Macaca fascicularis: one gene and its partner. The protein of the gene in region 2 binds, or shares a complex with, the protein of the main gene of each other region. Links are inferred from orthologs where the notes say so. Each region holds a gene or a part of one and is shown on either strand. Other genes may lie near its edges.

Region 1 (4,272 bases), on a different chromosome or scaffold from region 2:
TTTCCCCCCAAAGCTTTGAAAGCTTCCAGAAAGAGCTTCTCCTTGATCCTCAGATCTGTGGTCTCTTTCTCCCAATACCAGGACACTTGGTTTTCCCAGACCCAAGCTCCACAGGGCTCCGCCTGGCCCCTCAGGCTGTCGTAGCTCAGGTACTGCTGCGGGCCCAGCCAGCCGGACACCCAGAAGGCAGGCGTCCCCGGGGCAGGCGAGGACACCGCGGTGAGGTGGTACAGGAGGGAGAGGTGGCTTTCTGCAGACAGAGACAGAGCTGAAGGGAGAACATGGGCGGGGAACTAGATTGCAGTGGGACAGATATCCAGGGAGGGAGAAGAATCTATTATGGAGAGGGAAGATTCAGAGGGAGGGGACAGAGACCCAGAGAGAAAAAGGGACAGAGACCCAGAGAGAGAGGGAGACAGAGACCCAGAGAGAGAGACAGAGACCCAGAGAGAGAGACAGAGACCCAGAGAGAGAGACAGAGACCCAGAGAGAGAGAGACAGAGACCCAGAGAGAGAGAGACAGAGACCCAGAGAGAGAGAGACAGAGACCCAGAGAGAGAGACAGAGACCCAGAGAGAGAGAGACAGAGACCCAGAGAGAGAGAGACAGAGACCCAGAGAGAGAGGGAGACAGAGACCCAGAGAGAGAGGGAGACAGAGACCCAGAGAGAGAGGGAGACAGAGACCCAGAGAGAGAGACAGAGACCCAGAGAGAGAGAGAGACAGAGACCCAGAGAGAGAGACAGAGACCCAGAGAGAGAGAGACAGAGACCCAGAGAGAGAGACAGAGACCCAGAGAGAGAGAGACAGAGACCCAGAGAGAGAGAGACAGAGACCCAGAGAGAGAGGGAGACAGAGACCCAGAGAGAGAGGGAGACAGAGACCCAGAGAGAGAGACAGAGACCCAGAGAGAGAGAGACAGAGACCCAGAGAGAGAGAGACAGAGACCCAGAGAGAGAGGGAGACAGAGACCCAGAGAGAGAGGGACAGAGACCCAGAGAGAGAGGGAGACAGAGACCCAGAGAGAGGGAGACAGAGACCCAGAGAGAGAGAGAGACAGAGACCCAGAGAGAGAGGGACAGAGACCCAGAGAGAGGGACAGAGACCCAGAGAGAGAGGGAGACAGAGACCCAGAGAGAGAGACAGAGACCCAGAGAGAGAGAGACAGAGACCCAGAGAGAGAGAGACAGAGACCCAGAGAGAGAGGGAGACAGAGACCCAGAGAGAGAGGGAGACAGAGACCCAGAGAGAGAGGGAGACAGAGACCCAGAGAGAGAGACAGAGACCCAGAGAGAGAGACAGAGACCCAGAGAGAGAGAGACAGAGACCCAGAGAGAGAGAGACAGAGACCCAGAGAGAGAGGGAGACAGAGACCCAGAGAGAGAGACAGAGACCCAGAGAGAGAGACAGAGACCCAGAGAGAGAGACAGAGACCCAGAGAGAGAGAGACAGAGACCCAGAGAGAGAGAGAGAGAGACCCAGAGAGAGAGAGAGAGAGAGAGAGAGACCCAGAGAGAGAGAGAGAGAAGGACAGAGACCCAGAGAGAGAGAGAGGGACAGAGACCCAGAGACAGAGACCCAGAGACCCAGAGAGACAGAAAGACAGGGACAGAGACCCAGGGAGAGAAACAGAGACCCAGAGAGGGAGAGAGAGAAAGGGACAGAGACCCAGACAGAGGCCCAGAGAGAGAGAGGGAAACAGAGACACAGAAGCGACAGGTGGTTCTCAGCCTCAGGCCCAGCAGGAGACGCTGAGAAAGTGAACTGAGCGGAGAAGGCAGCGCCCGGGACTCGCGGGGAACTCGGGTCCCGCTGGCTTCGCCCCTGCCTGCCTGGGGCCGCCTCCCACCGCCCGCCTGCAGCAGGGCCCCGGCCCGCAGCGGCCCTCACCTGCGCCCAGGCTCCCGGGCAGGAGAAAGAGCAGGAGCCCCAGCGCCCAGGGCTGAGGCCGCGGGACCCTCATGCTGAGAGGACGACCTGGGGCGGGAGGGGGCACGTGACTCCTCCCGACCCCCGGCCCGCCCCTTCCTCCCGGGGTACCAAGGGCAGGGCCGGGACCAGGACGCCGAGGAGGGGCTCTGCGGGCTCGGTCCAGACTGACAACAATGCCCTCCTCCTACCTGAAGAACTTTCACCCCTGAACTGGATCTCAGTTAGTTAATTAATTACAGAAACTTGATAGGCTGAGAGTCCCGGCCCCGAGCTCGGCCACGCCCCTTCCGTCCCTCAGGCCCCAGCCCCTCCTCCCTCGGACCCAGGAGTCCGGGCCCCCAACCCCTCCACCCTCCGACCGAGGAGTCCGGGCCCCCAACCCCTCCACCCTCCGACCGAGGAGTCCGGGCCCCCAACCCCTCCACCCTCCGACCGAGGAGTCCGGGCCCCCAACTCCTCCTCCCTCCGACCGAGGAGTCCGGGCCCCCAACTCCTCCTCCCTCGGACCCAGGAGTCCGGGCCCCCAACCCCTCCTCCCTCGGACCGAGGAGTCCGGGCCCCCAACCCCTCCACCCTCCGACCGAGGAGTCCGGGCCCCCAACCCCTCCTCCCTCGGACCCAGGAGTCCGGGCCACCAGCCCCTCCACCCTCCGACCGAGGAGTCCGGGCCACCAGCCCCTCCACCCTCCGACCGAGGAGTCCGGGCCACCAGCCCCTCCACCCTCCGACCGAGGAGTCCGGGCCACCAGCCCCTCCACCCTCCGACCGAGGAGTCCGGGCCCCCAACCCCTCCTCCCTCGGACCCAGTGTCCAGACCCCCAGTGCCTCCTCCCTCCGTCCCAGGCGTCCAGGCCCCCAGCCCCTCCTCCCTCAGAACCAGTGTCGACACCCCCAGCCCCTCCTCCCTCAGACGCACTGTCCAGACCCCCAGCCCCTCCTCCCTCAGGCCCAGGGGTCCAGGCCCTTCCCTCCTCCCTCAATCGGGGCCTGGTCGGCTCACGTTCCCTTCAGCCTCGCTCCCTTCCTGCCTGCGGCCCTGGCCGGCTCCTGGCTCCCGTGACTGGAGACCCCAGTTCCTCTCTCACATCCTGTGGGAGGCTGCTGCTCCCTGACTCCAAGAACATCCAGCCCCACCCCCCCCAGTTGCAGGGCACACCCCAGGCCCTAGGCCCAGCCTCTGTTTGTTTCTCAAAACGCTTGTGGTTCTTCTTTTTCCCCTTCTCTGTGGTTCCCGTTTTTTTTATTTTGAGGGTGTCCGCCGCCCAGGGAATTCTTGACAAAGCTGGGAAAGGAACCGGATGCCTTCGAAGTCCACAACTTGGAGGTCTCTGGATCCTCCTCCTACCCTTTTGTATCCCTGTGACCTTCCCTAGCGCTGGCTGTTAATCAAAATCTTATGGAAGCCTCCCTAGTTCCTCCTTCAAGCCCTTCCCCCGACATCCCGTTAGAAAGGTCCTGCAGGTGCTCTTTAATATCCTTCTGCTGGCCGGGCGCAGTGAGTCACGCCTGTAATCCCAGGACGCTGGGAGGCAGAGGCAGGCGGATCACGAGGTCAGGAGTTCAAGACCAGACTGGCTAACACGGTGACACCCCCGTCTCTACTAATAATACAAATATTAGACCGAGCGCGGTGGCTAACGCCTGTAATCCCAGCACTTTGGGAGGCCAAGGCGGGCGGATCACGAGGTCAGGATGATCGACACCATCCTGGCTAACACCGTGAAACCCCATCTCTACTAAAAATACAAAAAATTAGCCCGTCGTGGTGGCGGGCGCCTGTAGTCCCAGCTACTCAGGAGGCTGAAGCAGAAGAATGGGGTGAACTCAGGCGGTGGAGCTTGCAGTGAGCGGAGATCGTGCCACCACCGCACTCCAGCCTGGGAGCGAGACTCCCTCTCAAAAAAAAAAAAAAAATTAACTGGGTGTGGTGGAGCACCTGTAGTCCCAGCTGCTCTGGAGGCTGAATCAGGAGAATTGCTTGAACCCAGGAGGTGGAGGTTGTGTAGCAGGAAGAGCCACAGACAAAACTCCTCAGACACCGGATTAAAGAAGGAAGAGGTTTTTTATACAGCTGGGAGCGTCAGCAGACTCGCGTCTTAAGAGCCAAGCTCCCCGAAAAAGAAATACTTGGCCTTTTTAAAGGCTTACTACTTTAAGGGGTCCACGTGAAAGGGTCGTGATAAATCGAGCAAGTGTGGGAAACGTGACTGGGGGCTACGTGCATCAGCTAACAGAACAAAAAGTTTTACAGTGCTTTTTTTTTTTTCATACAGTGTCTAGGATTTACAGATAACACAAGTAGTTTAGGCCAGGGGTTGATGTTATTATTATTACTTTTTTT
Region 2 (3,805 bases):
TCATAATCCACCTTCTGGGACAGATAACATTTTTTTTTTTGAGACAGAGTTTTCCTCTTGTTGCCCAGGCTGGAGTGCAATGGCACCATCTTGGCTCACCACAACCTCTACCTCCCAGGTTCAAATGATTCTGCTGCCTCAGCCTCCCGAGTAGCTAGGATTACAGGCACGCACCACCATGCCTGGCTAATTTTGTATTTTTAATAGAGACAGGGTTTCATCATGCTGGTCAGGCTGGTCTAAAACTCCTGACATCAGGTGATTTGCCTGCCTCTGCCTCCTGAAGTGCTGAGACTACAAGTATGAACCACAGCGCCCAGCCGACAAATACTATTGTTATCTTGTTATCTCCATTCTACCGAGAAGGAGACGAAGGCTGTGATCATTTAAATAAGTTGCCTAAGGTGATGCAGTAATATAAGTGGCAGAGCTAGGAATTGAGCCTTGGTAACTTTAACTCTGGACCCCAAGTCCTTAGCTACTAAGCTTTACTGCATGGGGTTTAGTCAAATTAAGACTTTTGGAATATGAGTTACTTTTGAGGTTAGCTTTGTGATTTTTTTTTTGGTGCTCATTTGTCCAACAAAGTCTATTTTATTTTCATCTTAATTAGGTTTTTGTATGAATATGCAAGAAGGCATCCTGATTACTCTGTCATGCTGCTGCTGAGACTTGCCAAGGCATACGAAGCCACTCTAGAGAAGTGCTGTGCCGCTGCAGATCCTCATGAATGCTATGCCAAAGTGGTAGGTTTATTGTTGGAAAAAAATGTTATTCTTTGACTGATGATTCCAATAATGAGAAAGAAAAATAATGCAAGAATGTAAAAAGATATACAGTGCAATTTAGATCTTTTCTTGAGATGGTTTCAATTCTGCAATCTTAAACATGATAGAAAAAGTAGCCTTAGAATGATTAACAAAATTTAGACTAGTCTAGAATAGAAAGATCTGAGTAGAGCAATCTCTGTGAAATTTTGATCTTTTTTTCTCTTTTTCACAATCCTGAGAACAAAATAACTTAAAGTAAATTTAACTGTTAATTAGAAGATACTTAACTTAGATGTAAAGTGAGTTAACCTGATCCCAGGACTAATCAAGTACTAGAATTAGTATCTTCAGGCAAATTATAGAACCTGTTCCTTTAGAAGATTTTCAAATCTTTTTGAGAATGTTTAGGAGTAGTTCTACAGGAAATTAAGTTAGGAGAGGAAATCTGTTCTGGAGGACTTTTAGGGTTCCCACTAGCATATGTAATGGTTTCCAAACTATTCAGAATCAGATAAAACTCATTTTTTCCTCTGTCAAGAAGCTACTAGATGCCAGGCACCATGCACGACCAATGACCAAGGTAAAATCTCTCATTTTGGAGAGCCCAGAATCTAACTAGAAAGGTGAACTAATAATAATAATATGTATAATCATAGCCATAACTTATTAAACTTTTATTACACGCAAGGCACTGTTTAATTTCATTAGCTTAACTGGTTTACAGAGCAGCTCTATGAGATGAGTACCATCTTTGCCCTTTTTTAGGGATAAGGATTCTGAAATGTGGAGATGGTAAGTAAAATTGCACAATTGAAGAATGAGTTAGATGACTTGGCTCAAATACTGGTCATTGAACTTCAGAGCCTGAATATTCTTAGCCACTTACATGATGCAAGCTCACCAAATAAATCGTTTGAATGTAATGTGACAGCGTGGCATTGATAGTCATCTGTTTGTGTGGCTTTGAGTAGAAAGGAGAAAGGATATCATTCTGACCAGAGGGGTGAAAAACAACCTGCATCTGATCCTCAGGCATAATACTATCAACACAATTCTTCTATGTTTCAGTTTGATGAATTTCAACCTCTTGTGGAAGAGCCTCAGAATTTAGTCAAACAAAATTGTGAACTTTTTGAGCAGCTTGGAGAATACAAATTCCAGAATGCGTAAGTAATTTTTATTGATTGATTTTTGATCAATTCGTAATTATTTAAGACTTAATATATGAGCCACCTAGCATAAAACTTGTAAGAATGAGAATACATTACATATTTCTAATCACTCTTTGTCAAGAAAGATAGGAGAGGAGAGATAAAATAGTTGATGGGGTGGAGAGGCCTATATTTGAATGTAGTCTAAAAATTGTTCTCTTAAGACTGGAAGTATGTAGACTGGGAGGGTAAATACGAAATCTTGGTATATCGAACTGAGGATGTCCCTTGAAGGTTAAGAAATAGTTAATGGGCAAATAGAACATGGCAATATTTTGTAGAGCAGGAAGTAGTAGAGCAGGAAGTAGTAGGCCTTGAATAGCAGTCGCTCAAAAAGTAATATGTGAGCTGAACACAAAATGTAACAAATGAATTTAGATTCATGTTTGAATATTAAATTCAGGTTGTTTGGGGGATGCACCTAGTGTCTGATGGTTAAACCTTGTGTTTCTGTGGAATTTCCCTCCATGGAAGAGACAGAGACAGAATGGCTTGTGGACTAATGTCCCAATTCAATAGAACTTTATCTATGAAGGTTAAAAACAAGAAGAGATATGTTATACAGTAGATATTTATTGTGTGGCTCATACACATAGTGCTCTTCTGATTATTGGTTTTAGGGATAATAACCGTGAACAAGACATAGTTTCTTTCCTCAAGTAGATTACATAGATTGACTTTTAATGGTGACTGGCATTCTTAATACATGATTATTATATATTAGGTACCATGTCAGATTAATTATAATACTTTACTACTTTTAATTTAACCCTTGAACTATCCCTATTGAGTCAGATATATTTCCTTCCATTTTCTACTTGTATCTTTCAAGTTTAGCACATGCTGATATATATGAAGCTCTCTCCAGGTTTTATTGAAAGAAGAAATTAATAAATTTATTAATGTCACTGAAGTAGGTAACTCACTTTCCTAAGATTATACAAGTAGTACAGGTGGAACTCAAAGCCAGGTTTGACTAGTTGTTCAGGAGAAAGTTTTCTCCCCTCCACTAACCCACTACTCTGCAGATGGAGATAATATGATGAATGGAATATAGGAACATCTTAGTTGATTCCGGCCAAGTGTTCTCTGTTTTATCTACTATGCTAGACAGTTTCTTGCCTTGCTGAAAACACATGGACTTCTTTTTTTCAGGCTATTAGTTCGTTACACCAAGAAAGTACCCCAAGTGTCAACTCCAACTCTTGTAGAGGTCTCAAGAAACCTAGGAAAAGTGGGTGCCAAATGTTGTAAACTTCCTGAAGCAAAAAGAATGCCCTGTGCAGAAGACTATGTGAGTCTTTAAAAAATATAATAAATTAATAATGAAAAAATTTTACCTTTAGATATTGATAATGCTAGCTTTCATAAGCAGAAGGGAGTAATGTGTGTGTGCATATTTGTGTGCGTGTGTGCATGTATGCATGTGTATTTGTGATATTGGCAGCCAGGGTCCCAAAGATTATATATATATATTTTTAATATTATATATATTTCATATATTTATTATATATAAATATATATTATATATTTATTATATATAATATATATTATATATTTATTATATATAATATATATTATATATTTATTATATATAATATATATTATATATTAATTATATATTACCAATACATTATATATTTATATATTAATTAGTTATTAATAATATATAATATTGCATACTATATTATTTTAAATATAATTAATATTATATATTAATATATTATTAATATTATATATTAAGTATATAATTAATTATATATTAATATGTTAATGCAATGCAGTATTATATAAACTAATTAATAATATGTATTAATAATATAT

The links.
Region 1: the proteins of ALB (region 2) and FCGRT are in contact, whole or in part, in a crystal structure (PDB 6QIO), measured with the Homo sapiens proteins. The link is inferred for Macaca fascicularis from reciprocal best matches to the Homo sapiens genes ALB and FCGRT. Residues at the interface, in NP_000468.1 of Homo sapiens: Arg105, Glu106, Thr107, Tyr108, Gly109, Glu110, Asp113, Asn133, Asn135, Gln441, Ser443, Pro445, Thr446, Glu449, Leu484, Leu487, His488, Thr491, Pro492, Val493, Tyr521, Val522, Pro523, Lys524, Thr530, Phe531, Thr532, Phe533, His534, Asp536; in NP_001129491.1 of Homo sapiens: Arg65, Glu67, Glu69, Gly72, Ala73, Val75, Trp76, Gln79, Val80, Ser81, Trp82, Trp84, Glu85, Lys86, Thr89, Arg92, Asn172, Lys173, Leu175, Thr176, Leu179, Phe180, His184, Glu188, Arg192, Gly195, Asn196, Trp199, Lys200, Glu201.

The regions. Positions count from the first base shown.
Region 1 is NC_088393.1:57,472,427-57,476,698, reverse strand, and holds the start of FCGRT (IgG receptor FcRn large subunit p51), read right to left. Parts: upstream 3,022-4,272; 5' UTR 2,960-3,021; exon of another isoform or gene 2,932-2,959; intron 1,977-2,931; 5' UTR 1,963-1,976; coding exon 1,890-1,962; intron 269-1,889; coding exon 1-268. UniProt on the Homo sapiens protein: Cell surface receptor that transfers passive humoral immunity from the mother to the newborn. Binds to the Fc region of monomeric immunoglobulin gamma and mediates its selective uptake from milk.
Region 2 is NC_088379.1:60,560,851-60,564,655, reverse strand, and holds part of ALB (albumin), read left to right. Parts: intron 1-613; coding exon 614-746; intron 747-1,838; coding exon 1,839-1,936; intron 1,937-3,136; coding exon 3,137-3,275; intron 3,276-3,805. UniProt on the Homo sapiens protein: Binds water, Ca(2+), Na(+), K(+), fatty acids, hormones, bilirubin and drugs. Its main function is the regulation of the colloidal osmotic pressure of blood. Major zinc transporter in plasma, typically binds about 80% of all plasma zinc.